2 linked regions of the Pelodiscus sinensis genome follow. The protein of the gene in region 2 purifies or fractionates together with the protein of the main gene of each other region. This does not show direct contact. Links are inferred from orthologs where the notes say so. Each region holds a gene or a part of one and is shown on either strand. Other genes may lie near its edges. The genes, in order: PAK2 and ARHGEF6.

What was found.
Region 1: the proteins of ARHGEF6 (region 2) and PAK2 purify together in Homo sapiens (affinity purification with mass spectrometry; 3 studies listed by BioGRID and IntAct, counting the BioPlex papers as one, with this or other methods). This does not show direct contact. The link is inferred for Pelodiscus sinensis from reciprocal best matches to the Homo sapiens genes ARHGEF6 and PAK2.

Annotation. Positions count from the first base shown.
Region 1 is NC_134720.1:618,029-634,098, reverse strand, and holds the start of PAK2 (serine/threonine-protein kinase PAK 2), read right to left. Parts: upstream 7,660-16,070; 5' UTR 7,504-7,659; intron 1-7,503. Other genes in the region: PIGX (GPI alpha-1,4-mannosyltransferase I, stabilizing subunit), read right to left, coding at 14,493-14,651. UniProt on the Homo sapiens protein: Serine/threonine protein kinase that plays a role in a variety of different signaling pathways including cytoskeleton regulation, cell motility, cell cycle progression, apoptosis or proliferation.
Region 2 is NC_134723.1:35,323,175-35,339,627, reverse strand, and holds the start of ARHGEF6 (rho guanine nucleotide exchange factor 6), read left to right. Parts: upstream 1-9,618; 5' UTR 9,619-9,719; coding exon 9,720-9,884; intron 9,885-11,037; coding exon 11,038-11,121; intron 11,122-16,453. UniProt on the Homo sapiens protein: Acts as a RAC1 guanine nucleotide exchange factor (GEF).

The sequences.
Region 1 (16,070 bases), on a different chromosome or scaffold from region 2:
TGTTCTGGCATCTGATTTTGTAACTTTGTGCAAGAATTCAACGTAGCGTGTCCTCTGTCAGGTGGCTGTCAACTTGAGATGTACCATGGATAGCTCTCTATCAGTTCCTGCCACCCCTTTGCATTCTGGGTTATGCTCCCAGAGCCTGATGGGACCAAAACTGTGCAGTGGGTGGTTCTGGATACATATCTTCAGCTTCTCAGAATGCACTTTTCTCCTCCCTGACCTTCCATTTGAAAGCAACAACAAACAGTATTTTCATGTGCTTTTTCCCGGCTATCTGTGCAGATGGCATGGCAGGGTAAGCATGGAACCCTTCCAGGAACAGCGAAGTATTGTGTCCCCATGTTTCAAGCGCATCTCCTTCAGCAGCATTTTCCTCCACTGGCTTATCGCTCTCTGTCCACGTGGGCAGATTGCATTTGTTCCTTGAACATCTCAGCCCTAGTACATTTTCCCCTTTGGACACGTGCTAGTTGAACAGTTGGTGAAGGGGGAACGTGCACTCGCTGCTGCACCCGCTGTAATGAAAAGCGAAGGGCAGACTTTACAGGAGGTCCGCTGTCAAGCATAAAGCCTAATCTCTTAGCACAGAAGACAATAGAGATGTGTTCTGTACAAAGCCACAGTACCTATGCAGCAGGTACACTCCAGGAATCTTAGGGGAGCAGCTGGACTCCATTTGGTGGCAGGCACGGCAAGGAACAGGCTCAGACTAGAGCCTGCCAGGGGAAGGTGCTCTGGCCTTGGCGGCAGGGCTCATGCGGCAACCAGATGTTTGGCACCCCATTTACCAGGAAAGCACAACTTTCCCTTCCTGCAGGAACATGTGGATGGGTGGGAAGGAGTGAGGAATCTGGGCATTGCACCAGGACAGGGGCTCAAGCCATGCTTCACTGGGTATGGGCAAATGGAGGTTTACTGAAGAGGCATCCGTTAATAACTTCTCCTCCTTCATCCAGGTTGCCATGCACGATATCAGTCTTCTCTGAATCACAGAGTGATGGGAGCTGATCCTGACAACAGAGCGTATGCTGCAATGACGCAAGACCACTTACTGCTGGGCTAGGCATGGAAAAGCCCAATACCCTAGTCCATACTGTGAAGGAGGGAATGAGGCAGGCCTCCCCAGCAATCTTGTGAGAAGGATTAAAGAGTTCCTCTACGCGAGTTTTATGGAGATGTGCAGGAGAGGATTCCTGCTCCTTCTCCCGACATGTCAACAAGCTATTCCAGGCAGCCCCCGCTGCGTAGGCACAGTGGCTGCAATAAATCATACCCAACTGCTTTAACCCACTTGTAGGCAGATAAAAATATGAACTCAGCAGAAGCACCCTCCCTGTCATCAGGGACTGGCTGTGAGATGCCGTTGGATGTGGGGAATGGTCTCCGAAGTTATAAAAAGGTCCTGGCTATCCGTGAGCTCAGCTGCCCCGCTCGCCTGCTGACCATTCTCCCCCTCACCTCTGCTGCTCTCCAGGCTACCAGAAGTATCTCTTAGGAGGAATCTGCAGACTGGCTAGGGAAGCTGGTCAGGTTCCCCTGAAGATCACATGCACTTGCTCATAAAAGCGGCACGTTTGCAGCGATGATCCATATTGTCCATTTGTCTCCTTTGTCTTCTGATTTAACTGCTTCACCTCCTTTATTGTCATATCTCACTGCTGGGCATCCCTGGCTTATCCTTTCTCCTCTGTGCCCTTTGCCATCTTGGCATAGATATCTGCATTTCTCTTGCCGGTTCGTAGCTCTGCGAAAACAGTTTCCTCTTCTCACACAGCAGTGAGGTCAGAGATCTCCTGCATGCTCTATGCTGGTGCTCATTTGTGACCCTAGGCATTCGTGGTCAAGTTTGCTGCTGACTCTGAGGTCTGCTCGTCTTGCTGGCCACACAGGACATGAAATTCAACTATTTCCAGGGCTTTTCCTGGGCACCTGGACAGCAGCAGAGTTGAAAGTCCTGGCCAGACCTGTCACAGCAGGGCACTGTGGGACACCTCCTGGAGGCCAAGAATATCGACTTACTATCACTGCATCTGCACTACCTTAGAGCCAACCATGCAAGGTTGAATTTAGCATCACTAATGAAAAGCTTGGTCACGTGGACTCACTGTTTAGAAAATCAACTAAAAGCAGCTAAGCTCCACTAAATGCCCAGTGTAGACTGGTACCAATACACCAGATGATTCCCAACCCCAGGACCGGTATTAAATTAAGACGTTAAAAAGTTACAGAAGAAGAAGGTTGGACACACCAGTAAATGCAGGGAAAGATAACTACCACCTCCATTAGCTCAGAGATGGAACTACTGTGTTGCAAGATTCAAATATAGCAGCTATTTAATGGCAAGAGGTAACAGCTAATTTCCCAGAACAAATAATGCAATAACAAGCGAAGAAGTAACCCTGGGCCAATCTGAGTTGGAAGTGTTTGTATCTCAGTCAATCAGAAGCTATCAAAAATCTTCTGGGATGGAGGTCCATCTCCCATTCAAGCCTTTTACCTATACAGGAAATCCCCAACTTACAAGCAAGTTGTGTTCCAAAAATGTGTAAGTCATTTAGCAACTCAGAATGCATTTTAGCACAGAAACAATGTTATTAATGGCAGCTATGATCCCAGGCTAGCCCACAAAAGCCTATTTAACCCATAACATGCTATATATCTGTGATGAAAAACAGCAGAAATTGTTTTTATTTAACTTCAAATGCTGGTCCTTGAGGAAAGGCAGATTTAATGAGGGGAGAATGAGAAGGTAGATGGAGATTCTGAAGGGGACTTCTGGGCATGTCCCTGCTACCCACACCCCTGCGGGTTCTGAGCTGGCTCCTGCGGCCAGCCTCATCCTCCAGCCATCCCCCTCTCCCCACAGGCTACCCACAGTGAGCAGGGGCTGGAGGACTCCAGAGGAGCAGGATGCAGCCTTACAGCTGCAGGCAAGAGAGCAGCACTGGTTTCCTTTTCAAAGCACTACTTCTCGCCACTGGCTGCATGACCGCCCTCTGCTCCTCCAGCGTCATCTGGCCAACACGTCCTCTGTTTGCCACCACCTTTGCCTCTTGGCTACTCGAGAGGCTGCAGGTGAGCTTTTGATTGTATGTGCAGATGTTCGTACCTCGGATGTTTGTAACTCGGGGAGTGCCTGCACTACCATTCTAGGACCAGCAAGCCCTAAACAGCACTGAAAGTTTATGACAAGGAAAAATAACCGAGGATTGCCAAACTACTATCGTCTCCTTCACTCAAAATTCATAGTAAATGCATGAGTCCAACGTTGGTCACAAAGAGTAAGTCAGGCATTCTTTAAAAATTGAGCAGCTAGATAGGCTCCTGATTAAACTAAGTGTTCAGCTGTTACCTATGTTATTTTTCTTCTCTATTTGCTATCCTCAACCTATTGTGCCATCACAGATGTGAGTTACATTTTTGGGGAAAGACCTGTCTTTCTAGTTGTTCTGTAAAGCACCTAGTGAGGATTTTGTTTGAAAATTACACAAAGTTTCTCTCCAAACAAGACAAGTTAGTTAAAACTAGGGATGTAAAACCCAGTTAATCAGTTAACTTTAAGTTTAACAGGTTAAACAATGAAGTGGGATCCCTCACAAGGGGGCCAGCAGCCCCAAGCACCCACTCCCACTGGGGGCTGCTGGCAAGAGACCTGCTCCTGCCCCTCCATCCCACATGCAGAAGGGCAGGCTCCCACTCTCACCCCTCCCCCCCGCACACAGAGGAACCAGCTTCTGCCCTTCCTTCACATGTATTGTTTTCCTGAGTCTGCAGCCAGCCAGCTCCAGTACTGCTACGGTCAATGGCATATCCAAGGAGCAGTAGAGTGAAATTTACAACACTGATGAGATTTACTGCAGTTAAGAAGCCAGAGGGCAGCTGTAGAACTGTTAAGCATATCTATTACTGTTTAAGAACGCAAGCATTGCAGCTTGTCATAGTGGAAGAGGAACCAAGCAGAATGTTGACGGGGAAGGATTGGTGAAAACCTTACACCTCCCCCTGCACCCACAGAGCCTCTGCATTGAAGGGTATAGATGCAGAAACCCACATGCAACAGCCAGGATGCTCTGGAGGTGGTGAAGAGACAGGAAGCATCTTCCTCAACAGTGAGAGTGGGAGGAGCTTCACATTTATCTGATAACTACTTGCAAGAAGCGGATACAAAATATGACATCCCAATTAGACTCCAGGAAAAAGACACAACAACTTCTCCCTTTCAAATAGCTGGGAATGATAGCTGGATTTTGCTGAGGGCATCACTGACCTTCACAGCTAACTCTGGCTAGCATGTATGAAATTTTGAAGGTCTGATCCCTCATACTGCAGTTGGGAAAACAGAAAGGAAGTGTCTGTCTAAGGATGCACAGCTGGAGATAGAACTAACATCTCCGAATTCTCAGTACCAGTCTACACTCTAGACTAGCGAACTTGAATGCAGACCATAAAATGCAGACCAAATTAAGTTACCATAATTGACTTTCTATGAAATCTTGCTTGAAGATTTCAATCTTGTACTTCTTCAAGGCTTTCCATTGAACAAAGTTAGCTCATCCTACTTACAACATGATCCAAGTCCTAAAAGTTGCCAGTTCACTATTTGAACATTTTAATGCCAATATATTTAACACATCATACTTTCATGAAAATGCATAATGCTAATATTAAACAGTTTCTTTTCATCGTACACTACAATGATACAAAAAACACCAACCCTAGACAGAAAAGCATCTTAAGAATCCTTAGTCCGACTAACGCATGCTCTAGTGACATTCAATTGTAATTTATGCATAATTCTTATTTATGGAATGGTAATATCTTCCAGACACCACTGGACAATTGCAGACTTTTATTTGTGAGTCACTTACAATATTTTCAAGAAACCACTACCTAGTTAACTCGAGAGATTCAAAGGAATATACTGAAAGCTTGTATTCTTTTAACCTTCTTACTGCTCCAACTAGTGTCTGTTTTCATAAAGAAAAAAAAAGCAGTGAAACCGATCACTGTAGTTAAGGTTTTGGAACGATCTCTTCAATGGAAAGCTTTACAATTGTCTCTATGAGGATTTGGATTTAGCCTGCTTGAACTGCCTACAATATTCTTAATTAAAGTTACATTTATATTGCCTTGTACAAGTCACAAATACTTGTAGCTCTTTGATTTTATACCTTGAGGAGTTATAATATAGCTTGGAAGGAGAGCGATCATCTGACTGGACGAAGTTAGTTTCAATCCTACAAACTATAAATCATCTTCCTGTTCAACCACTACTGCTTAAAACATATATGTCGTTTTACAAAATGGCACTGGTAAAACTGCTTTAGATTATTTTCAATCAGCGATGGGCAACCTAGGCTAGTGAGTGGGCCACATGATTGCCATATCCAAGACAGTCTCCTGGGATGGGGTAGTTTTGCTAACTACACTTGCCTACCTTAGAATTTGCTGGGAGTGCCCACTGGACAGTAACAGTACTTTGATTGGATGTAGAGAGAGCACATGGCTCTCGCAATCAATGCTGTGTGCAATTTCAGCTCATATGCACTTACTTTAGGTGCGTATCACTTTAGCAGTACTGGTAGGAAAAAACTACATGGACATGCCTGGGCAATGGTAAACAGAATCTCTCACAGGCCACACACAGACCCCAGAAGGACCACCTGCCGCCTTGCATACTGCCCACCAGTGCTTTAAATCCTTAACTATAAATTACTTAAATAGGACTTCCCAGCCCACCACATATGTCAGCGCTATTAAGTGGACAGAGGGGATCTAAGGCAAATAATTTTTAATAGCCTGACACCTCCATAATCTCACTCAATTGTTTCCACTTCCATGCCTCTGCTACCCTCCTCCTTTTCTCCCCACCTGTGCATTTTGATCAGACATGTCAGTATACAAAGTGATGCTTAGGTCCTAGCCCAAGACTCCAGCATTAGCATTTTCATTCACACCACTACTTGGCAAAACCCTTTGACATTGGTGTGGTTGAATGGTACATCCAAATATGCCATTTGGGTTTGGTTTGGTTTTTTAAAATAAGCCCTTTAAAACACTGCTGCTGTAACAGTTAGGATACTTATTCCAAAAACCATGATTTATCTTCACTGTGGCCACAGCAGAGGCATCAATTAACGATCTGTTAATCTGAAAGAAGAACATACTGGCTCTGGAAGCTCAGTCCAACTCTCAGACAATACTTGAGCACTGAAATTCCAACCAAAAAAAGAATTTGGGAAGAGTGAAAACATAAAAAAGGACAGGAGAGGGTAAGTACTGGACTAAAAGTAGTTCTGTCAATGGTATAAGTTAGAGACCCAGTTAGACACACACCCCCTCTCACATGTACATCCAAATTCCATCTTAGACATGTGGCTGGCATATCTTGCTCACATGCTCAGGGTCTAATCGATCAGATATAGGTAAGGAGGTCCCCCAAGATCAGATCTGCAGGGACTCTAAGATATTTTCCTCTTCCTCATTATGGGATACACATGGCCTGTTGGGATCATGTAGGCACTTCTCACACCTAGTCAGTTTCCTGCCACTGCAAGAACTTACACAGCACCCATCTCTCCTGTGTTGTGCCTGCAACACAATGGTTTAGTCCCCTAAGGACTAAATGCTTTATTTACCAAAAGTAACTGGTCTCACAAGTGGGGTATTTGGGTGAAATGTAATGGCCTGAAATGAGCAAGAGGTCGGACTAGATGATCTAATAGTCCCTTCTGGCCTTAAACACTTCAGAGTCTCTTGTGAGGAGGGCTGGGGGAGCAGATAGAAAAAACACATAATGAACAAAAGTAGAAAAATAAAGATGTCAGAAAACAGGAAAGCGACTTCAACAAACAAACAAACAAAACCAGACAGTGACAACTACACTGAGACAAAGCATAAACGAACCACAAAGGGGTACTGATCCACAAAGGAATTTTCCAACACACACACACACTAATGGAATGCTGCGATATTTGGGTTGCTTACACTACCAGGGAATGGTAGAGAAAAAGAAATCCAGTAAACCCACAGATTCACCAACAATATTTCTGTTACAAAATGTCAGTTTGGGCAAAACTTGACAACTCCATTAATTCTTTGTGTGCAATTACCCCAAGAGGTCAGGGCGCCAGGGAGGCCCCGATGCAGCGACACACCAGCCCGTGGCGCTCACCCTGCGGCTGAGAGCCCGAGAGCACAGGAGCAGGACACACACCGAGCCCGCTTGCCCTGCCCGCGGACAGCAGTGCGGCGCGCGGGGCAGGTGCGCCTTCCTCCGCGCGGCCCGGGCGCAGCCCCCCCGCCCCCCAGGGAAGAGCCGCCCGCCCGCCCGCGCGCTGCCTGCGGCTCCCGGAGCAGCCGGGGGGGGGGGGGGCTGCCCGCACCTGGCCCCGCGCCCCGGGGCGGGCGGAGGCGCCGCGGCCTGGGACCCGCCGGCAGGTGGGGGCCGCCCGGCGCGGGAGGAGCGATCGGCGGCCGCCTCAGCGCGGGACTCACCGGCGGGGGGACCCCGGCCGCGGCCCCTGGCTCGCGCGGCGCCTCCTGCGATGGCGGCAGCGGGACCCACCGAGGCGGCGGCAGCCGGAGGGGGAAGCGGAACCGCCGCGCGTGGCCACAGCCCGGGAGGAGGAGGGGAGGGGGCGGGGCCGCCCTCCGCGCATGTTCGCGCGGAGACTACCGCTCCCGTGATGCAGCGGGCGCGGGGCGGGGCAAAGGGGGAGGTGCCGGCGCGCGCGGGGCCCGCTGGGAAGCGGAGTCCTGGGCCCCTCACCCCTGGGGGGCCCCGCCCCCGGCTCCGTTCCCGCCTCCTCACCCGGAGCGGAGGGAGGGGCTGCCTCCCGGTTGCCATGGGAGACAGGGCCCAGCGGGAGCAGGCCGGCGGCGCTGGGTAGCCCCGCCCTCCAGGATCGCCATTTGGCCCTCGGGCGCAGACGTTTTTCGGAAAAAGACTTTTGCCCGGAGCAACACGGCATTTCCGCAAGGACACTGACACTCCTACAGGGACCGGCAGTGCTGGTGCGGAAATTCAAGCGGCCAGTGTAGACAGCTGGCAAGTTTTTCCAGAAAAGCAGATGATTTTGCGGAAAAACTGGCCAGTCTAGACCCAGCCCAGCAGCACATGAAGAGTCAGGGGTAGGAGCAAGGATACATTCAGAAGCAGGGATCCAGAGGGGGGACACCTAGCAAAGGCCCCTGGACAGTGCTGACAGTACCCGCTGCTCCTCCCTGGACATCTTCAGACACTGCCCAGAAAAACTCTGCCCCCACATAGGACGTAATGGAGGATGTGAAGTAGACCCCCCACCCCCAGTTGCGGAACACTCTCTTACCACCGGCTTTTGAAGTCATCCAATACTTCTTGCACAATATGCCGGTCCTCCTCCATATTGGAAATACCGCCCTCCTTTGTCATGTGCAAAACTCGTTAGTGTACTCTCACTTTTTGTGCCAAGGTCGGTAATGATAATGGAAACTAAGATTGGTCTCAAGACCAGTCATTGAAGAAATGCACTAGTAACCTCCCACCACCCTTACAGTTCACTGTTCAGCATGACCTGTTACAGTGTCCTCTTTAACTAGTTCCTCACCAAGCTTTTCATTCTCATATTAATCCCTGTCCTCTCCAATTTAATAATTTCCATTGTATAACTATATAATACCTTATTGAAATACAGTCAGAATAGATCCTCTCCACTTCCTTTGAAGAGAATCCATTATCTTCTCAAAGAAGATATACGATAGAGGTCTATAAAATCATGAGTGGTGGGGAGAAAGTGAATAAGGAAAAGTTATTTACTTGTTCTCATAATATAAGAACTAGGGGCCACCAAATGAAACTAATGGGCAGCAGGTTTAAAACTAATAAAAGGACGTTCTTCTTCACACAGTGCATAGTCAATCTGTGGAACTCCTCGCCTGAGGAGGTTGTGAAGGCTAGGGCTATAACAGGGTTTAAAAGAGAACTAGATAAATTAATGGAGGTTAAGTCCATAGCATGAGTAAGGAATGGTGTCCCTAGCCTCTGTCAGAGGGTGGAGATGGATGGCAGGAGAGAGAGCGCTTGATCATTACCTGTTGGGTTCACTCCCCCGGGACACCTGGCATTGGCCACTGTTGGCAGACAGGATACTGGGCTGGATGGACCTTTGGTCTGACCCAGTCTGGCCATTCTTACGTTATTATAATCTATCTTTCGTAAAATGATTATGTATTTTATTCTAATTGCTATTTATCTTTACGTCCTTACTTTCTCTTTCAACATTTGTTTTACAACTTTGCATACAAACCAAACCAAAAGGGCCTGTAATTTCTCTCATCACTTTTTTAACCTCTTACAGGGCAGTCTCGATTTTCTGACCTTCGCTTATCCAACATACCATTTTATCCAACGTGCCACCCGCCGACGTGACAAATTGACGAATAAGAACGCAGCATGTACAATAGCCAATCACAATCAGTGCATGCGCCCACACCACACAGGAGTGCAGTTGTGCTTTTGTTTGATGTTTATTTTTTCATTAGAATTAGTAATACATATTTATTCCCATGTTTTTTATTGGTACTCCATATTACCTAACATTTTCACTATCCAATCATCCTCCAGTCCTGTTTAGGTCAGATAATTGTATATTTAAAAGTACTGTATTTGCAATTCAGTAGTCATAGGCTATGACCCCTGAGTTTATGGATGTATTAAAAATCATTGTTTTGAGGTTTGCAATTTCATGTGCCAGTTTTTTTAATATTCTTGGATGGAGATTATCCCCATACCGCGTCCTGGTTTTGTCCCATAAAAATAAGTTTAACTTTCATCTCAGATGTGGTAATTTCAGCTTTCATATCTTTGTTCCTAGTGGCCATCCTGCGCTGTCCCCAAGATTCTAATTATTCTTTTTGTAAGATGAGGCAAAATATTCATTTAGGTGTTTGACCATGCCTAGATTATCTTTAAACTCCACACCAATTTGCGAGCTCATTTCTTCTTTCCTTGTTTTTTGTATCACTAAAGATTTTTTTGCCAGTGGGTTTACTTTTCTTTCATCTAGTCCGATTTCCTGCCCACTAAACTCAATAAGCAAAGTCAGGCCTGGGTATGACAGCCGACACGAGACTAAACTATATGCCATAAAAATAGAAAAGAAGAGATGAGGTGCACAAGGCCCAAGGGAAGGGAGACACACAAATGACCCTGGCAAACAATGTGCATCCATGCTGTAGAGGAACACACATGTTTAAAAAAAAATCACCAAGGCCACTGGCAATCTGACCTGGGGGGAAAGTCCATCAGAATCCCACATAGCATGATCAATTGGAACCTGGACATGTGAGCAAGAACCAATCAGACAAGCATCTGGGAAAGAGATTACTTGGTACCACCTCAGAGCACTGGCCCATTCTGTCCTGTGACCCATCTCCACCAGTGGTTTTTCTAATGCTTTAGAAGATTTAAAAAGAAAAACCACAGAATACTTATTGGGGGGGGGGGATCCCTCTGACACTAGCAAACCAGGTCAGATCAGGGCCAAGGGCTGGTTCACCTTTGTTAGTACAGATCAAAAGCAAGTGTTAGATGTAAGAGTGCATTCAGGCCAATTGACTTACTATTAAGATAGATCAAACTAATTTTAAGGACGTGAATGACTAAGCAAATGCTTATCAGATAGTCGACATGCTAGTCAACTAGTCACTTCCCCCACCCTGGCTGCTTCTATCAGAAGGAGGTAGCAAGTGGAGAGGAGGGGGAAGAGCAAGGGTTGCTTCAAAGCAACAGTGCTGTGTAGAGCCCAGAGCCAGACCCCGGGCTCCACACAGAGCTGCTGCTTTGAAACACCGCATGCAGCCTGGGCCAGCTGGGAACTCCCAGCTGGCCCTGGGCTGCATGTGGCATTTCAAAGCAGCTGTGACGCATGGAGCCCGGGGTCAGCTGAGGACCGCTGACCCTAGGCTCCATGCAGCACTGCCGCTTTGAAACACCACGGGGAGCACGGGACCAGCAGGAGTCTGCTTGAGTCGCCCACTGGTCCTGTGCTCATCCTGTGGCTGTTGCCACACTTCAAAGGTGGAGGTGCCCTTATCAACTAATTGAATCGTTGATGCAAACTGCATCGACTATTCAATTAGCCAATTAATTGAAATTTAATATCCCTAATTGCTGAATGTATGAGAGCATACGCAGATCTTTAAACTTCATGAAAACTAATGGGTCCTTACTTTTATTGTTCTTGTTTATCTATTCTTGTTATAATATAGCAAACATTTACATTTGTTTATAGCCCTGGAATTAAATTACCCATCAAAGAACTTTAGGAAATGCTAATGAAGTGTTTAAGGACTTTAACAGAAAATGCTTCTAAGTAAGTGATCCTTGTGTGTGATATTCAAAGTAAGGACTCTAAGTCCATTCCTTACTATCTGTAATCAAAGAAAAGCCGATAGTTAAGAGAGACTGTCAGCTTGTCTTCTGAAAGAAGATATAAACGTGGATTCGAAGAAAGAACATCTATCTCTGGACTATTTGGATTCTAACAGGGCACAATAACTGAATGTGAAGACAAAGATCCAGAAGGACTTTTGGGAAACGCAGTTCATTACATCATTGCCACCATTTGGAATTACAAACTGTGATTTACCTGTTATATTTACCTGCTCTCACAGCTCAGTAACTCAGTCTTTTTTTCTTAGTTAATAAACTTAGTTTACTGTATAACTGGCTGCCAACATCATTTTTGATAAAAGATCTGTAATACCAATTGATTCAGGTACAACCAATCACCTCTATACCCCCATCATACAATGCCAACAAATCTGTCAGGATCGATCTCAAAACTAAGTATGTTGTTTGCCCCCACTCACACCCAAACACTCTTCCTATTGGAAGGCTGTCCCAGATCCTCATACTGCTGATGGTTAGAAAGCATCTCATTCCCAGCTTGAATTTGTTCAAGACCAGTTTATACCCCTTTAATCTTGTACCAATATTGTTCTATACTTGTACTAACTCTCCCTGGTTTTCTTTCGCCTTGCTGCATTCAGAGATCACAACCAGGCTCTTAGTCTTCTTTTTGCTAAGCCTTTCCAGTCTCCTCTCATTAAATAGGGTATCCATTCCTCTGATCATCTTCCCCCTGACTGCATACTCTCAGCCATAAAGCTCAGGTAAAGCTTCTGAAGATTAACCTTTCCAGTCCCAAATTGCTGTAATCAAATGTCTACCTCTACCAGAAATTCAGTAATAGATGTCATTACAACTGATTAGAACAGATTATTTCTTTCAAATTAACTTGAAATAATTAAACATTAATGTAGATCATTAAAATACTCAGCAATTTATCCTACCCTGTTCTATATTTGCACTACAATGACCAGGTACAAACAAACTAATCCGTGCTCTGACACTATCCTCACTAGTAGGCACAATCAGACGTAATTTTTATCGCAAACTCTTTCATTAAGATCAACAGCATATTTGCCTCTGTGCAATTAATATTCAGATTATTTCTCTTACTCCAGTTTACCGTTGTAGATTTTGTTTTCTATTCTTACAGTCACCTATGCAAATTTCTCAGGAACTCATTCATTAAGTATCGCCACTAGCAGTATTTTCCTCGTGTGTCCCATGGAAATTCACAGTTTTCTTTCACTAGGCAATGATATCAGATAGGGTAATCACTTTAAACAGTTCATATTAAACTTTATCACACTGTCTTCAAAATTAATATAATCTTGAGCAAGGGGAGGAATATCAAAGGAAAACCATCTTCCACAGAAAGGGGGCCCACAGTATAAAGGGTTAGCCTTCAGTATAAAGCACATGTCTGGCCAGGAGACAACACAAAAAACAAACTCATATTTGGAAAATAAAACAAAAAAACCCCAGGGACATGTTAAACAATAGAAGCTCACAGCTGATAACACCATGGCACAGCTGCTCAGACATGGTTAAATAAGTAACAAAGTCTATTTCAGGTTTTTTAACATTTTCCTTCCCCCAAACGGATGCAGAGGACTCATGAACTGAGGCAATAGATGAGCCACCTCTTTCGGCACTTCGTCAAGGGAAACGAGACCAGTGTTAGATCACTTTCCAACCTGCAGCCGAAGTTACAAGACAAGTTCTTTATTGAGTGTCAGACGGAGATGAGGAAAGATGCCCAAGAATTCCAGAAGATATAGCTGTGGAGGAAGAGGAAAGGCCAATCCTGCTGACAGAGCAAGGATTAGGCTGCACAACTACAGGCCACACATGGATATATGAACAGAATTTGAAAGCCAAGACCTCTGCTTTTTATTGCATCTGTAGTTTAATAACAAAACCACCTATATTTAATATCCTCTACGTATACAGAAACAAAGTAAAAATCTGCCCTATGAGTTATCTTAAACTCATAATGCCCCCTACTGACAAACAACAGAAACAAGATACATTTAGGATGACAAATGTAAGAACCATTGAGGCACCTCAGTTTTTCCATTAATGAAGCAATTTCCTCTCTGTTTCCTTGTATTTCTTAACAGCGCTGATGATTACCTCCAGTCTTCCAAGTCCTCTATTCCAGCTTAGCATCATTTCATAGATACCAAGGCCAGAAGGGATCACTGTGGTCATTCGGTCTGACTTCCTGCGTAACACATGCCTTAAATTTCCTCAAAATAATTCCTGTTCGGATGAGGCTCTGTTATTTCCTCTGAAACATCAAAGTTACTAGTCCTGCTTCTAATTTACCCAGTAAACATCTAGAAGTTTCTTCCAAATTCTTAGGGCCTCTTTAAAAATCACATAAATCTGGCTGCCTCCTACAGGTCACTGTTAATAAAACAGGGACCATTATATCTTTACAATGCTTGGAAATCCTTTCCTGTTCCAGGTAAATATGTAGCTCACAAAACAAATTAAAATACAATAGAGTTGGATTATGTTTCAGTTTATAACTCAAAGGTACAGAGACCAGGGAACCTGTTTCTCTGATTATAATAATCAGTCTGTCAAGTCAGCTAGTTTAAAATCCTGGAAGAATAATATGTAATGAGAGGCACAGTGGTCTTGCACTTAGGGAATACAAGATTAGGAGTCAGGAGACCTGAGTTCTATTCCCAGCTCTGCCAAATGACTTTGGGCAGATCACCTCATCTGTACATCTTAGTTCTCCCTCCCATTCTTTGTTCATCTACATTTGTTGCTAGTCTCTAAGGTGGTGCAATACTATTCATTATTTTTGAAGTTTTTTCAGTTACATTCTCTGAAACTTTTGTCTGCTTTGTCTATTTAGAATGCACCTTCTTGAGTGCAGGGATGGTCTCTTATTAGGTGTTTATACAGTGCCTGGCACAAGAGAGTCATGATCTCAGATGGGTCCTCTAGGCATTACTGTTGTAAAGGTGATAAACAAATGGCATTCCATTCATAGAACCCTATACAGAACAGACTCAGTTTGCATGGTATTCATTACTGTTTCAGACTGACTCCAGCTACAATGTCTTGTTCAGTTTTACTCTGAGCAGTGCACGAAGGAAGAGGGTCCATGTTTGCATACAGCTGCAAGAACTAAACAGGAACACAGGACTGTGGTAAGAAGAGTCCCCGCACATACCAAGGCACCATGCTGTTTGAGCCCCACTGGCACTAGCAGTATCACTTCCTTATTTACCTGTGAAGAGAGAGTTGGATGTTAAACCTGAGTAAAAATACAAACTTGAGCTATTATTCCATTCTCAGTAGCTTTTGTTTCTCCTTTAGACATAGGAATTAAGAAAGCATCACAGAATCATCTATTTAATGTTAGGGAACAGCCCTCAACAACCTTAATCTCTCTAGTTGCTCAGGCTTTCTCCATTCATTTAAAGGATTTATCCTTTCATGCAGCATTGGATTCAAAAGTCAAAGCTGGGGGAGAGACATTTCCATTTCTATCTGCCCATCTTGACAGCTGACTTATTGAAATGCTAGGGCATTTATCAGGTTAACAGTATCTGAGGCACTGAATTGTGCCTTTATTTTTCTCTACAGCTTTGTTCTTATATTAGCTTTGACATTAGGGACATCGTGCAACTTGTGCACACTGTAAGACTGGAGGAAGAAACTTATGGAACGAATAGCTAAAGAAATCTCTCTCGCATAATAGTAGCCTGCAAAGTTTAAAATAAAAAAAATAAAAAAAAAGGCCTCAAGTCCTTTTATGCTCCTTATAATTCATTATAGGTATGTCTACAATAGCCCCCTAGTTCGAACTAGGGAGGCTAATAATGGCAACCGAAATTGCAAATGAAGCGCAGGATTTAAATGCCCCATGCTTCATTAGCATGTTCCCGGGCGGTCGCCATTTTGGAAATTGACTAGCCCGGAATAACGGCCCGCGTCTACACGTGGGTGGGGGTGCAAGAGTGAGGATATGGGGGTAAGGAAGGCGATTCCATTCAGCATGGGCCTTTTCTCTTCCCCAACCCCCATGGCCATCAGGGGCCCTTTTCTCCCCACCCTCTACCCCCTCAACTCCCCCAAGCTGCTAGAGGCCCTTTTCTCCCCCCTCCCCGCCTCCCAGAGCTTCAGCCAAGGGCCAGGAGGGGGAAGAGTTTGGGGCAGGAGGGCTATTTACTTGGTGTGCTGGTAGGGAAGATGATGGAGGCCCAGCCCTGCTGGCCACTCCCTTGGTGGCATGGCTGCCCCCAGTGAGAACTCTGAAGGATAGCTCTCTCCTACAGGCGAGGGGGCCAGCAGCAGGAGGGGCCGCATAAGAGGAAAAAGGAAGCAAAAGTGAAAATCAAGTAAAACCATGAAGGATGAATATTAAAAAGCAACACATGTAGAAACAAAATTAGAAAAGCCAAGGCACAAAATGAGATTAAGCTAGCTACAGATGTAAAGGGTAACAAGAAGATATTTTACACAAGCGTTAGAAGCAAAAGACAGACCAAGAACAGAGTAAACCCTCTACTTTATGAGACAAGAAAGACAATAATAGAAAATACAGCAATGGCAGAAGTGCCAAGTTACTTTTTTGTTTCAATTTTCAACAAAGAAAGTTAGCAATTACTAGACAACGAAATATAATGTTTATCAATGTAAATGG
Region 2 (16,453 bases):
CCCCCTTCTGATAGTCCGGCAAATCTGATAATCCAGCACCCCCTGGGTCCTAAAGATGCCGGATTATCGGAAGTTTACTGTATAATGATAATAAAAACTCCGTTCACAGCCAGCCTCTCTCTGGTTATTTTAGGGCAGCTGGTGGAGTTAGTCATTAATCTATCTCTACAACTTAACAACTCCTGGGTTTCTATTTCTAACACTTATGCTTGGCCTAAATACAACACCACTACACAACACAAGATTATACAATTTACACAGTGTGGTTAATAGAACTCAGTTACACTCTATAGAATTACACAATGAAATTAACACGATTCAAATATTAACTAAACCAATAACTAATATATTTAAGCAATACTTACAAATCCAGCAATGATAATAGTGTAAAGACACACTAGAACTCGGCGCATGCTCAGAACTCGCGCACCCTTATCTTTGACTCGAAGGATGGGGAGGCAGCCTCAGGGTGATCAATCCTTCAGCCAGGAAAAAAGACACGTGCCCTCAATACACGGAACTTCTCTGAACCAAGGGGTCGAGGGTCTTTTATAACATAACCTGATATCCGGTACCTTATTAGGGTCTGTTCCCTGGCTGGGCCTGATAGGCTGGTAATGAGGTAATGTGCAATATTGCCCTATAGGATTTTTCATGATGCCCGCCTGATGGCTCCGTGGACAGTGCTGGGTGGGGGCATGGTCAGTGTGCATGGCAGTTACGTCTTATGTCCCTATGCCTACCTCCCTATCTTCAAGGACTGGTCAAGAGAGTCTATTTATCTCTTGCAGCTGTGCTCTATCTTTTCTTGCTCACCTCCCTGTTCTTAGATGCCTACAAGGTTAAATTCCATTCACAGAAAGCTGCATTGTGCACTTACAAGTTATGCTTTCTCAGAGTGTGTCAGCGGCCTACATTTTCTGTGAGGGGCCTTTGTGTGGCAGAATGGGCAATGCTCACGCAAGGCCGTGGTCAAAAGGACCTGGTCTGTGACAAACCCCCTTATACTTTTTTTAAAGATAAGGTACAACTTAAGCCCTACCCTTTATTCCTCCCGAAAGTTCTCTCCCATTTTCATGTGTCTTAAGACATTTTCCTGCCTGTTCCACCCCAAGCCTCACCTTACCCCTCAGGATTGGTCCCTGCAATCCCTGGATGTGAGGTTCCTTAGCCTTTTACCTGGCGCTCACTAAGCTGTTTAGGAAGTCCAATCAATTGTTTGTGGCCATAGCAGATAGGATGAAAGGGCTCCGTCACCTCCCAGAGGATCTCCTTTGGGCTACGTCTAGACAAGACTAGGGGGGTTTTCCGGGATACTCCATCATGTCCAGGGAACATGTTTGCTCTTCCGCTTTTTGTGTGTGGAAGAGCAGACATGCTCTTTCAGAAGCCCTGTTTTCCTCCTCCCATGAGGAAGAAGGGCTCTTCTGAAAGAGGGTTTTTTTCTGAAATTTGGCCTAGTGTAGATGGGCAATTTGAATACCTTTTTCCGATAAAGCCTCATAGTGTTGACATAACCTTGAATTACGTCCTGTAGTCTCATGTGCTATGACCTGGCAAAGGTCCCAGCCCTTCAGTTGCCCACCCTTTCAGCTCAGGCCTCGCCAACCGCCTTTTTTGCTAATGTCCCTATCCAAGACATTTGTCGAGCAGCCACGTGGTCGTCTGTCCACACGTTCATATCCCACTGTGCTATCCAACATGAGGCTAGAGAAGATGCTGCATTTGGAAGGACAGTGTTGCAGACTGCAGACCAGTGATTTCCTACCTCTCTGCCAGATAGCAACTTGGGAATCACCTAAATTTGAATGCACATGAGCAATCACGCGATGAAAAAAAGATGATTACGTACCTTCTGTAACTGGTGTTCTTCGAGATGTGTTGCTCATGTCCATTCCAAAACCCTCCCACCTTCCATCTGTCAGAGTAGCTTCCGGCAAGAAGGAATTGAGGGAAGGGGCTATATACCTTGCCATTCTTGTGTCACTATAGGGGTCTCCCCTGCTGACCTATGGGTTCCTGCTAGGGAAATGCTTTCCGACAGCTTTGCACATGATGCGTACACACCTAACTTGGAATGGACATGAGCAATACATCTCAAAGAACACCAGTTATGGAAGGTATGTAACCATCTTTTGTATAAAAAGAAAACCTGGGAATTGGAAAACAGTATGAATAAACAATAGTTGTACTACACCCCCTTCAGTTCAGCTTGTCAGCGGACCAGCAAATCAGCCCTATAGAGTCTTGAAAGTACTTGAAAGTAGGAATAAGAAATCCTCCGGAAACGGGCTTATTTTCCGGAGAATTGCGTCTAGACTGGCGCTTTTCTCCGGCTTATCCCCGAGTCAGAAAAAAGCGGCAGCCATGTAAATGCAAATGCCGCGGGGGATATTTAAATCCCCCGCGGATTTGCAATTCCAAAGTGTCTCATTAGCATCCCTTTTCCGGAAAGGGATGCCAATGTGGACACAGCCATTATGTTCAGGAATTGTGCTTTCAATACACAGGATTCTTCCAAAGAATCCATATAATGAATTTAGGTGAGCAGCCTGAGGCAGCCTGGTGAGACTTCTTTTGCCTGAAAGGGCTGATCACAGCAATCATCGAATGATAAAGATGGCACACTAGTTTGTAAATTTGTGCTTTAATCTTTCAAGTTGCCTTTATATGTCATGAATGAAAGGGGTCCAATTTATTTTTTCTGCATAGATTACAACTTTATAAAAAAATCCTGGGTCTGATTTATTTTTAAAATATGCAGTTGCATGCAAATAAGAATGGCTGCTTATTTAGGATAATCATGGTAACTGGATGCAAATTGGGCATACAAAATAAGCTTGGGAGAAGCTGGGGGAAGTCTGGATCTCTGGGAATGCTATGTAAAATCTAGTTTAGGAATACTAAGTTTGGAGAAACAGTTACAGTTAGATCTGTTTCCCTTTGAACAACATGGTTAAGTCAAAGTGAACATCTTTTCACTTGCATTGATAGATATTACAAACCAAGGCAAGGTATATTTTCACTCAAGAATGATTTCTTGATAGGAAAAATGGGAAGCATCAGTTTATCTTAAGATCCAAATATAGGTCTTTAGAGGAAGAAAAAAATGTCTTCTCAACACCAAAGTTTAAAAACTGATACATTTGTTTGTACTCCTTTAAACCTAGGTACTATAAAATTGTCCATGAAGCTAAAATACAAAACCCTGGGTCATGTGTGTGGAAGGCCTTATAATGGGTCACAAATTTGGAGCGTATAACACAGGGTTGTTAGATTTAAAATACATTACATGCTTTCCTGCTTACTGTAGTGTTGTTGCCTTGCAGATTGCTTACTAAATAGGGCTACTATTAGCTAGTAAATCCAAGCAATCTTTAAAATAGTCCCTAGGGGGAGTCATTGACTAATATAACCCTCAAACTCTTAGCTGGTGTGTCTTTTAAAAATTATCTAGTGCTAGAAAAATTAAACTTGAAAATGCAAACCATACGTAAACTATTGCATTGCCTGCCAACGACTGCTTGCAGCCTGAAATGGCTCAAAGTTGTGAATTGCTCCACTCCATGTTGAGTTTGTGAATCCAAACCTCGTGAGTGTAAAAATTGATATTTAACAATTCATTGCTCATCTCTTTAGAAAAGACATCTAATTTAACGTGCTAATCCCGCAATCCCAAACTGCCATATCTTTGTGCCTAAAGCCTCTGGCTGCCAGCTCGGACCTAACCCCTGGTGGAGACAGCGCTATGTCCAGGAGAAAGCTTCTGTGGATATTGTTACTGCCTCTCAAGGTGGATGGTTAACTGTGCTGATATGATCTCTCCTGTTGGCATAGTAATGCTTTTATTAAGCATTATAGCAGTGCAGCTGCACACTGTGCTACTATAACGTTGTATATGACAGGTCCTTTGATGCAGGTTGTCATTGCAAAACCACTAACAGTAGCTTAGAATGGGTGCTCAGACTTCACTGTACCATGACTCCCTTTGGACAACAAATTACTACACGTCCATAGGAGCAAATGAAACCTAAGCCTGAGACCTACCTCCCTGGACTATTATTTTGGGTGGGTGTGCTAATGCTCAATGGCTTTACCTCAGGCAGGGGGACTGTAACCAGCTTCAGTCCCAGTGGTAGGGATTGGGCTTCAACTTTTGGTCTCAGGTCCTGGCAAGTCTAACAGCAGTCTTGGTGATCCCAGACCCCTAACACACAGTTTGAAAGCAACTGGTTTAGAATAAACCCAGAATGTACTAAGAACTTGGTACCTATTTTAAAAGCATATTTCATAACCAATTCAGTAAATAAAATCCCTCTAAATGACCTGAAGTTGCTGCAGAATTTAGACTTAGAAGGTGTACGAGATGCCTAATGGTCCAAAGTCCTAAGGCGGTAGATTGATATTGGATGCTTGTGCAAAATTGTCCACAGATTGGAAGAATTACATTTAAATAACCAAGTTTTGTTTCAAAATGAAGCTGGATCCAGAAAAGGGTTACGTGCTTTCAGCTTGCATTGAAGCCGTCAGTCTATGCAGATGTACAAACCAACATTTTCAAAAGGGAGTGATTGTTGAATGGAGGGTGCACAATTTGCAACATGTTATGGGGGCTTGATTTTTAGAAGTGATAAGGACCCTCTGTTTTAAAGTCGGGCATTGTTTTTATATCCAAATGGTGCGAGGCACATGTGAAAATCTTGGCTGCTGCCTGCTAGTTCTGGGACTGTTTTCATCAGAAGACTTTTGTGAAATAAATCAGGAAATGGAATAATATTTAAAAACTGCCAAGATCTCAACAGTCAATAAAATGGGGTTTTACTCCTGTGGAGGATCAGTTTTCAAAAGACAAGTCTGAGCTCATATTAATGAAGTTCCATTGCATAGTTACTGAAATATCTGCCCACTCATACCATGAAAAAAATCTTCAGGGAATGTGGGAACCTGCCCTCTAATACCTGGGAAAGTGCATTATGGATGTTTGAGAACTAGAGATGACTCCTGGACTTTAGTATTTTTGCTTGTCACTCAATGTTATCAGAAGACCAAGATGCAGCAGAGATGACATCTGCCACAAAATATCCTTAATAATAAGTAGGTGGTGGATTCTTGGCCTCTTTTATGTGCAACAAGCAGTCCACTTCTTTCCATGCACCTCTTTCCTATGGCAAAAAGCATCCTTGTTGGAGCTTGGCTTACTATGCAGAATCTGGTGTCCAATCTCCCTCACCCTCTCCAATTTAGACTTTCATATTAAGTCTACTCATTGACTTCCTTTCCTCCAAGGGATACTCTGCATAATAAATGGAAGTGTTGCAACTTTTTTTCCCCAATGAATAATGAGAAGCAAAGAGGCAGCCTTGCTTAGCCAACTTTCCCTCAACTGTTCCAAAGGCTTGGTGCAGACAGCCTCAGCCCTCTGCTGAAGACAGTGTGATCTGTCAGGAACAGTACTGTAGTTTGCCACTGCAAGAGATTAACCTTTTTCCCACTAGAGAATAGGGCTATCTTATTTTGAACAATAGCCAAGTAACCTGGAAAAAATATGACAGAGAAGGGAAGAATATGACTCCAATAGAACAGCTGCTAGGGCTATTGAACTGTCTTGTAAATCATCCACCCTTAGCCATGCATGCCATCATTTCAATGCCACTGTGGAGCCATTTAACTATTAGTGTTCCAATCTAATAGGCTACCCTATTTTCAGAGCTAAACAGGAAAGAAGGGACAAGTTCCACAAGCAGAAATGCTCATGCAATTGTGCATTTTTGCATGTGGACCTTAGTGGTTCAATAAGGGTACACTCTCCCTGAAAACGGCACCTGTAGCAGTAGACTTCCCACTGTCAATTAGCAATTAAACATTGTTTTCACATAGAGCCTATTCCTGCTGAGTATTTCTCCCCTCCTGAGCTGTCATTTGCTGCTTTGAAGGATAACCATTTATAACTCCGCGTAAGACCTATCTTGTCTTTTGTCCTTGATGAACCATATTCCCTCAGCCATTGAGAAGCATGAGCTTGTTACTAGATAGGATGTGTGTTCTGGCTCTGGTGTTGCAAGTTCTGAAAGGAACAGAAGAAAGGACAGCTGCCCTATTCTAAATCACATACTTCAATGTCTTACACTAAGGGTTTTTTCGAAAAAACGTGGCAGTTTTTCAAAAAAACTTCCCCTGAATCTAGACCATTGCCGCGTTCTTTTGAAAGTAAATCGGAAGAACACGGCAATTTTTTTCAACCGCGGAAAACCTCGTTTTACGAGGAAGAATGTCTTTTTTCAAAAGTGCTCTTTCGAAAAAATGCTTTATGTAATGCAAACTGCTTTTTTGAAAGAGAGCATCCAGACTGCCTGGGTGCTCTCTTTCAAAAAAGCGGCTTGCTTTTTTGAAAGTACTGGTTGTAGTCTAAACGCTCTTTTTCAAAAGAGGCTTGCAATCTAGACATAGCCTAATAGACTGGGCTTTCTTTTCTCCCAAATCTGCCTCATGGAAGTTCTTTATGCACACTGCAATTAGATTTGCTTTTAACTTTCCAAAATAGAGTGGAATACTCTGTTGCTTTCAGTATGGTAGGTCCTGAATTACAGCTTGTTGAGAAAATTTTTTTTAACTTTCATTCCAGTGGAGAAGCCACCACCACTGCAATACACTTTGTAAAAACTCAGGGCACCATGGCCAGGCCGAATGGCTACACCGTGAACTGGTAATGTCTGCCCAACATAAGAAAATGCAGAAACTGTCTGTGTGTCGGGATGTCAACGAGAAAGTATGTGTCCTTGAGATCGAGGGCAGCACATCAGTCCCCTGGATCCAGGGAAGCGATAATGGAGGCCAGGGATACCATGTGGAACTATAGTTTTTATATGAATGCATTTAAGTTCCTGAGGCCAAGGAAAGGAGAGTAAACCCCCTTTAGACCTGGGGATGAGGAAGTATCGTGAGTAAAACCTCCTGCCCCGAACTCCTGAGGAACCTCCTCTATCACACCTATTGTGAGGAGTGACTGGACCTCTTGCATCAGAAGGTGTTCATGAGAAGGGTCCCTGAAGAGGGACGGGGAGGGGGCATGGTGGGGAGGAAGGGAACAGAAGTGGATAGAGTATCCCACTCTGCCATGCTCAGGACGCTCCGGTCCGAGGTGCTCTGCGACCATGCCTGGTAAAAGTGGGACAAACTGTTCCCAAAGGGAGGGACAGGATCTGGAACTGAGTCTGGTGCTCTGTCCTCAAGTGCACCCTAAAAATTGGAACTTGGGCATGGAGGGCTGTTGAGAGGTGCCCAGGTGTTGGTTGGTGGAGGATTGAGGAGATCCCCTCCTGTTATTGCACTAACTGTTATGGTGGGAGGACTGGGGGAAAAACCGGGCAGGTTGCAGGGGCTTAAAGTGTCTGCGCTGCAGGGCAGGTGTACGGGTGAGACAGGAGCCATCAAAGAGAAGGAGCCTGGTGCCGAGGGGGCCAGAAAAAACATAGAAAGGGCAACGTATGACACTGTAAGTAGCATCACTGGCACCACCGCAGGAGCTGTCTGCTCATGGAGGAGCCAGGGCTGGTGCCACATGGGCGATGCTGTTGTTGTCGTCAGCGATGCTGTCAGCAGATGGTGGTGCTGCTCCACCATGATGGGCTCTGGAGAGTCGACCAACACTGGACTTGACAGCCCTGCCCTGGGTGCTGGAGACAATGGTGCTGGGGGGCCCGACTTGGGCAGGCTTGGTGCTGCATGGGTGGCCACGGGGGCCTTACTAGAAAGGAGAGCATCCTCAGTCTTTTTCTTCTTCTTAGGCACCGGTGAATGGGAGTGGTGCTATGCCAAGAAGCTCACCTTACATGTGGGGGATCGGTGACAATAGTCCCGGTGCTCCTACTGCCAAAGTGTCCCACTCCGAGGCTGGCACAATACAGATGGAGGGAGCTGAATCTGCATCATGGGGCTGAAGTGCCAGCTCCATTAGCAGGAACTTAAGCCTCTGATTTCTCGTGTGTTTGGTCTGGGGCTTGAAACCCCTGCAGTAGCTACACTTATCCTGAAGATGGCCTTCTCCAAGATGCTGCAAACAGTCAGTGTGTGGGTTACCTGTAAGCATATGCTTCCTGCACTTAACACATTGTTTAAACCCTTGGGACAGCTACATGCCCCACAGACTTGGCAGATAGTGGAGAGGGAAACGCCCGCAGAGATACTAACTGTATGAGGGCTTGTCTAAACTGCATTCCACTCTTGAAAGAGGAATGCAAATGAAGCAGATCGAAAATTCAAATGAAGCATGGATTTACAAATCTCGCGCTTCATTTGCATAATTGCATCCGATCGCTTTTTCAAAAAAGGGATTTAAAAAAAAACCCTCCGCAGTCTTGATGGGGTTCTTTTGAAAGAAAAAGAAAAAAAAAAAACTTTTTTGAAAGAACCGGTACACCTCATTTTTTCAGGAGTACGGATTCTTTCAAAAAAGGGGTTGGTTTTTTTTTGAAGGAGCCCCGTCTAGACTACGGGTTTTTTTTGTTTTTTTTTTTTAAAACCCTTTTTCGAAAAAGCACTCGGACACAATTATGCAAATGAAGCACAAGATTTGTAAATCCGCGCTTCATTTGAATTTTTGATCTTTTGAGAGAAGAATGCAGTCTAGACAGAGCCTGAGTGAGAACAACTCTATCGACACAATGAAGAACTCTTAACTATGCACTAGGGAAGAACCACTTGCTAAGCAAGAAGTCCAAAGCTCCAGCAACCGTCACTGGTGGAAAGAAGGAACTGAAGTGGGAGTCAGGTCAGCAGGGGTATATGTATGATGCTGTGAGGCATCACTACCAGGGGTGCTACAGCCAATCCAACAGGTACCACTAGGGAAAACTCTTCTGACAATCATCCATATTGGAATGCACATGAGCAAGCACTCAAAGAAGAAATGTGCTTTCTTCTACATTGTTTTGTAAAACTTTTCATGTTCCTATCAATATTTTGATCAGTGTTCATTTATAATTTTTCTGTCCTTGGGTTAACTTTTCAAAAGTGATTCTTAATGGGAGGCATGTATGTTTAGGGTGGGAAATAGAAGAAATTTCACCATGATGCTAAACTGCCTGAAAAATTCGTGTAAAAATATTTCAGATTTTGAACATGGAAAAATCCAATGTATTCTATAAATGCTTTATGTAAGATTTGTGAAAGAAATTCACACAGTGAAACAAAATTATTCCAGAATGTCTTCATGATTTTTTGCAATTAAATTTTCAAGCTCTTGTTGACTAGTCTTGCTTTTGCACAAATTTGCAAACACTTAACATATATGAATAAAGTTATGCATATATTGCTATCAACTTCAGTGAGACTACAGATGAGGGGAATTACTTATATGCTTAAGACTTTGTGGGATAGGATAAAGACCTTATGATAGGATAAAGTACTCAGATACTGATGGGTGTGATACAAATTTCTAAGCAGAGAGGATATCCTTTTTTATTTACGAGCAACAGTAAATATTTCACTGAGAGCACAATAAAGGATCTCAAGCCATTTATATAGCCACAAGCTTGTTTCTTCCTTTAGAATGAGCATAGCTTCTAGTTTTTATAAAAATCACAAGTGTCAGAGGTTTTCAGTACAGTTGTTTCAAACTTTAGCCCTGCAGTCACTAGAAGAGGCAGGAAGATGCAATCACGGATGTGGGTTAGAGCTAGTAGCTGCAGAAAACTTCTGCACTGAAGGCAGAACTCTCAACGATGAATTCAGAAGAGCGGATCGTGACATGGCTTATTTCATTAGGAGTTTTAAATTCGCCCAAAAAGATGATAGGTGATCCAGAGCAGTTCCTGAAAGCTTCTCTGAAAGATGGAGTAGTACTTTGCAAATTGATAAATCGGCTTCTTCCAGGATATGTGGAAAAGGTAACTTCTTAAGTACATTTTGGTAGTCAGTAGGGCAGAAACATCTTGTGACACTGCTGCATGTTTCTAATACTCTGAGAAACTGGAGTATAATATCTTAGGGAATCATGACATACTCTGTTTTAGAGGAGGGAAGAAAGGAAAGATGCCATCTGTGTTTGAGAGAGACTTTAGTATTTTATCTTGTTTCAAAGATACTGTATTGTTAGCTGGATCTAAGTAAAATATAAATTTGGATTGTAGCTTTTTTAATGTTTATAATCTCTTAGATTTTGTCAGCAACATGAAACAAAAAAAGTATTGCTTGCATATACAATTGGAATTAGCTGAATTATGTATGCATGGCTTAAATCCTGACATATAGTGTATGCATGCTCTTGAATTTTGAACAGGAATATTTACTCAACCAAAAGTCAAATCTCCAAGTTTTTAGATAATGTATCTATGACTTGACAATATAATGCTTAAGTTTTAAAAACTATTCATTAAAGGAATATACTAATATCTTGCTAATCAGGAAATATAATAAGATGGAGAAGGGACTCAAGTGGGAATAAAAGTAAACCGTCATCAGTGCTAGTTTAAATTTGATCTGGCCAATACATTTGCAATATCTTGAAGCTGCTAAACTAAATTAGTACATTGTGTTACAGTTTTATTTGGTATGTAGGCAGACAGTTCAAATCAGCAATAAGCAACTGCAAACATAAAAGCGGAAGGAGTCTGATGAGAGATAAGGAAATGGCAACACAGAAGAACTGTCAGTAAAATGACAGAAAAAACAGGTTCCTTCTCTTATAAAACAGGAATCTTTTTTTTAAAAAAATCAGTTGAGCTAGCTGCATCTCTCTCTCCATTTATGTATGTACTGGTGGTTTTGGGCAATGTACTGATAAAGGTCAAACTTCTCATTATCACTTAGGGCACTGTCATATGCTGACATTCAAAACAACATGCCGACCATTTAGATTTATGCATCACTTCCTCCAGCGGCTCTTCCTGGTTTGACAGCTTGCATGCCACCCCCATGCCTCCCCCTAAAAAGCTTCCCTAATTCAGAATAGATGCACATGTCAAATATCTATGCAAGCCTGCTGAACAAAGACTATCCTGATGGTAATACAGTAAGCATGTCTGGGTTTTGTTTCTTTAGTATTGTCTGGAGCCCAAAAATGAAGCAGATTGCATCAGTAACATTCAGGAGTTCTTAAAAGGCTGTGTGACGCTTAAAGTGGAGGTAAGTTATTCCACTTATCACTATTACACTTTTAAAAATTATTATTCTGCTAATCTGTTTCCCGTGTGAATGTTCCTAAATATTAATAAGTAGCAGGAGATTAAAGTGATCATTATATTTTCAGGTATCTAAAAGGATGTTTACAAGGAGGAGGGAGAAAAATTCTTCTCCTTGACCTCGGAGAATAGGACAAGAAGCAATCGGCTTAAATTGTAGCAAGGGAGATTTAGGCTGGACATTAGGAAAAACTTCCTAACCGTCAGGATGGTTGAACATGGGAATAAATTGCCTGGGGGGGTGGTTGTGGAATCTCTATCACTGGAGATATTTAAGAGCAGGTTAGACAGACATCTATCAGGGATGATCTAGACAGTGCTTGGTCCTGCTGTGAGGGCAGGGGACTGGACTCAATGAGATCCCTTCCAGTTCTATGATTCTATGATGATATCTTGATTTAGTAAAATACACAAGAGTAGAGATTACTCAATATTCACGACAGGGATTCAGGGAGATTTTGTAAATATACTAGAGTGACGCGGAGTTGAGCAGCTTTTGAGATGAAGCTAAATGTGGGAAGAGGAACATACACTAAAAATAACATTAATTCTAGAGAGAACTGAGTAGTTTGATAGTGCTGGAGATTTGTTGGTTCTAAAGAAAAGTTCATGCAATCTTTAACCCTGCTTTAATTGACTTTATATTGTAGTAATGTCAAGACTACATTTAGCCAAGGTCTTACTTCACAAAGTATTGTTGTGTTAATTGTGATAGAATAAATGGTTCCAGAGAATCAAAGGAATTAACATGACCATGTTGCAGTGGTGCATGTTATGTACAGTTAAATAAGACTTGAGGGTTTGTGTACAGAGACATTAGCCTACTTCATCCCATGGCAAACATAGTCAAAAATCCATGCCAAAAGAGATACACAAAGGGGAAAAAATCAGAAGATATTCTGGAATTCAAATGGAGTGGTTAACAGAATAAATTTAACCAGAACCTATTGAAATCCCTTTTTCACAAAGAGCATATGTTAGTTCTGTTTTGTCAGATAATCCTTCATAGTGGGGAAGAAAGGGTTGGAACCTTTCATAAACTTTCACATACTTTATAACAGCTAAGTTCACAACTGGGGTAAGACTAAAAGACCCCAATTAATACCACAGGATCCTAAAATGCTTTACAAATATTGGGCCTGATTCTGAAAAATATATTTGTAGAGATGTAGCCTTTACTCATACAAAAAAGTCAATGATGTCAAAGGAATTACTTACATAAATAACACCTGCTTAACATGAGTAGAGGTTGCAGAATGGGCCTTTTATATCGCCCCAATGAGTGCAAGCTGATTCCTATGCCCAAGCCTAGCTCAGTGCAAGTGGAACCCTATATAACAGGTATCGAGATCAAGGCCTAAATGACTGTGCTGATTCTTAAAAATAGAAGTTCAGCTAGTTTTGCTGTAAACTTTCAGATTGGTTATGTGGTGACCCTTAGAACATAAGAACGGCCGTACTGGGTCAGACCAAAGGTTCGTCTAGCTCAGTGTCCTGTCTGCCGACAGTGGCCAATGCCAGGTGCCCCAGAGGGAGTGAACTGAACAGGTAATGATCAAGCGATCTCTCTCCTGCCATCCATCTCCACTCTCTGACCCTTGAGTTGATTTAAAACTTCCTTTTAAAAAAAGCGTCTTAATTCACACTGTTACACTCTCATAGTAGCACATTGTAGTATTTGAAAATCTGGCATTAACTTTGGCATTAACATCTATGCTACAGAGGAAGATTGAGGCTAATGCTGGCAATCTTCTGGGGTTTGAATTAGCGGGTCTAGTTAAGACAGCTAATTCAAAGTGAGAGGGACACTCAGGTCGATGCCAGTAACCTTACTTTCATGAGGAGTAAGGGAAGTCGAAGGCAGAGTATAGTCAGCGCCAAAAAATGACTTAAGCTGCTTCGACTTCAGCTACGCAATTAACATAGTCTTAATTCAACTTTGTCCCATAGTGTAGAAATACCCTGAGAGGACTAATGATGGATCTGAGCAAAAAATACTGTTTTCGAGGGAAACTAGAGGGCTGCACCCCCTGCTCACTACGTCTGCCAATTTCCCGGTCACTGGCCATTTTCATTAGGCCTTATCCCGGAGCACCATGGTTCACAGCCTACCCCCCTCCTTCCATCCCTACCTCCACCTCCATCCCTACACCCCTGCATCCATTCCTATGCCTATCATCCTCCCTAACTCCCCCCCACCCCACACTGTTCATCCCCCTCCTGCCATCCCTACCCCCACCTCCATTCCTATGTCCACCCCTCCCCCTTCACTCCACACTGCCTATCCCTCCGCCCCCCTCCTTCCTATATTCCTACACCTCCATCCTTCCCTAACCTTCCCTCTCCATACCCCCACACTGCCCATCCCCCTGCCTCCATTCCTATATCCATCCCCCTCACCCCCAACATCCCCCCTTACTGCACCGCCCAGCCCCACTACACCCTTATCCCCCTTCCTCCCTCCTTACACACACCCTGCCCCCTCCCATGAAGTTGTTGAGCTGCTTGTCCCTCCCTCCCAGGAGCACCACCAGGCTGGGCAGCACAGCTCTGGCCACCACAGCAGGGGCCACAGCCTGCCCCCGGCCCAGCCTGTTGAGGCAGCTTTGCTCTGTGGCGAGCCCAGGGCACAGAGCGGCCACTCCAGAGAGCTGGGGAAGCGGCCGGGGTGCAGCGTAACCACACAGTCCCCAAAGGGCTGGGAGCGCCGGTAGCATGGTGAGAGGCTGTTTCGGGGGGGGGGGGGGGGGGGGGAAGCATGTTCTGGGGTTGGAGTTGGGGCGTGGCAATGGAGAATGATGTGATGATGTCACTCTGCCATTCCGCAGGAAATTTAGAGAGAGAGAGAGAGAGAGAGACGTACAGATGGTTGGGAGTTTAACAAAAAAAAATTTTGGGGGGGGGGTCAGAAAATGCTGATTTGCAGAAACGTGTCAGTTTAGACAAAACTATCACCTGGAATGATTCTCAGGTTCAGGATGGGATTTCTGGTCAAAATGAGGCAGAACAAGAGGCCCACATCAGAATATCCAAGGGTACTCCCCTGGGATGTGGAAAAACTACTAAAAATCCGGCAAAGTAGGGACTTGAAGCAGGGTTGGTTACATCTCAGATAAGTGCCCTGATCACTGGACCAATGCTATTCTACATATTAATTAAAGCTCATAGCATTAATAAAAAACAATTATTTCAACAAATGATAATTTCTTGGTTTTCACATAATTATCAGAAATACCAGAAGCAGTCATAGGCTACATTTACACTACGATGTTTGCCGGAAGAGGCAATGCAAATCCTTATGTCTCAAAAAAGGAGATATAACAATCTTGTGCAAAAGGAGGTTTTTTCACAAAAAGGAAACGTCCACACTGCTTGTTTTTGCACAAAAACCCCTTGCACAAAAACAGATCGGAAGAGATTATGCAAATGAAGTGCAAGAAAATGCTAATTCGTGCTTCCTTTGCATTGCCTCTTCTGGTAAACATTGTAGTGTAGACGTAGCCATAAGAACATAAGAATGGCCATATTGGGTCAGACCAAAGGTCCATCCAGCCCAGTATCCTGTCTGCCGACAGTGGCCAATGCCAGGTGCCCCAGAGGGAATGAACGGAACAGGTAATGATCAAACGATCTCTCTCCTGCCATCCATCTCCACTCTCTGACAAACAGAGGTTATAGACACCGTTCCTTACCCATCCTGGCTAATAGCCATTAATGGACTTAAACTCCATGAATTTATCTAGTTCTCTTTTAAACCCTGTTATACTGCTAGCCTTCACAACCTCCTCAGGCAAGGAGTTCCACAAGTTGACTGTGCGCTGTATGAAGAAGAACTTCCTTTTATTTGTTTTAAACCTGCTGCCCATTAATTTCATTTGGTGGACCCTAGTTCTTATATTATGAGAACAAATAAATAACTTTTCTTTATTCACTTTCTCCACACCACTCATGATATTATATATCTCTATCATATCCCCCCTTAGTCTCCTCTTTTCCAAGCTGAAAAGTCCCAGTTTCTTTAATCTCTCCTTGTATGGGACCCGTTCCAAACAACTAATCTTTTTAGTTGCCCTTCTCTGAACCTTTTCTAATGCCAGTATATCTTTTCTGAGATGAGGAGACCACATCTGTATGCAATATTCAAGATGTGGGCACATCATGGATTTATATAAGGGCAATAAGATATTCTCTGTCTTATTCTCTATCCCTTTTTTAATAATTCCTTACATCCTGTTTGCTTTTTTGACTGCCGCTGCTCACTGCAAGGATGTCTTCAGAGAACTATCCACGATGACTCCAAGATCCCTTTCCTGATTAGCTATAGCTAAATTAGTCCCCGTCATATTGTATGTATAGTTGCGGTTATTTTTTCCAATGTGCATTACTTTACATTTATCCGCATTAAATTTCATTTTGCATTTTGTTGACCAGTCACTTAGTTTGGTGAGATCTTTTTGAAGTTCTGCTTTGGTCTTAACTACCCTGATCAGTTTAGTATTGTCTGCAACTTTGCCACCTCACTGTTTACCCCTTTCTCCATATCATTTATGAATAAGTTGAATAGGATTGGTCCTAGGACTGACCCTTGGGGAACACCACTAGTTACCCCTCTCCATTCTGAAAATATACCATTTATTCCTACCCTTTGTTTCCTGTCTTTTAACCAGTTCTCAATCCATGAAAGTATCTTCCCTCTTATCCCATGACAACTTAATTTATGTAAGAGCCTTTATTGAGGGCCTTGTCAAAGGCTTTCTGGAAATCTAAGTACACTATATCTACTGGATCCCCCTTGTCCACATGTTTGTTGACCCCTTCAAAGAACTCTAATAGATTAGTAAAACATGATTTCCTTTTACAGAAACCATGTTGACTTTTGTCCAACAAATTATGTTCTTCTGCATGTCTGACAATTTTATTCTTTACTATTGTTTCAACTAATTTGCCCGGTAGTGACATTAGATTTACCAGTTTGTAATTGCCAGGATCGCCTCTAGAGCCCTTTTTAAAAATTGGCGTTACATTAGCTATCTTCCAGTCATTGGGTACAGAAGCTGATTTAAAGGATAGGTTACAAACCATAGTTAATAGTTCCACAATTTCACATTTGGGTTCTTTCAGAACTCTTGGGTGAATGCCATCTGATCCCAGTGATTTGTTACTATTAAGTTTATCAATTAATTCCAAAACCACCTCTAATGACAATTCAATCTGTGACAATTCCTCATATTTGTCACCTACAAAGGATGGGCCAGGTTTGGGAATCTCCCTAACAT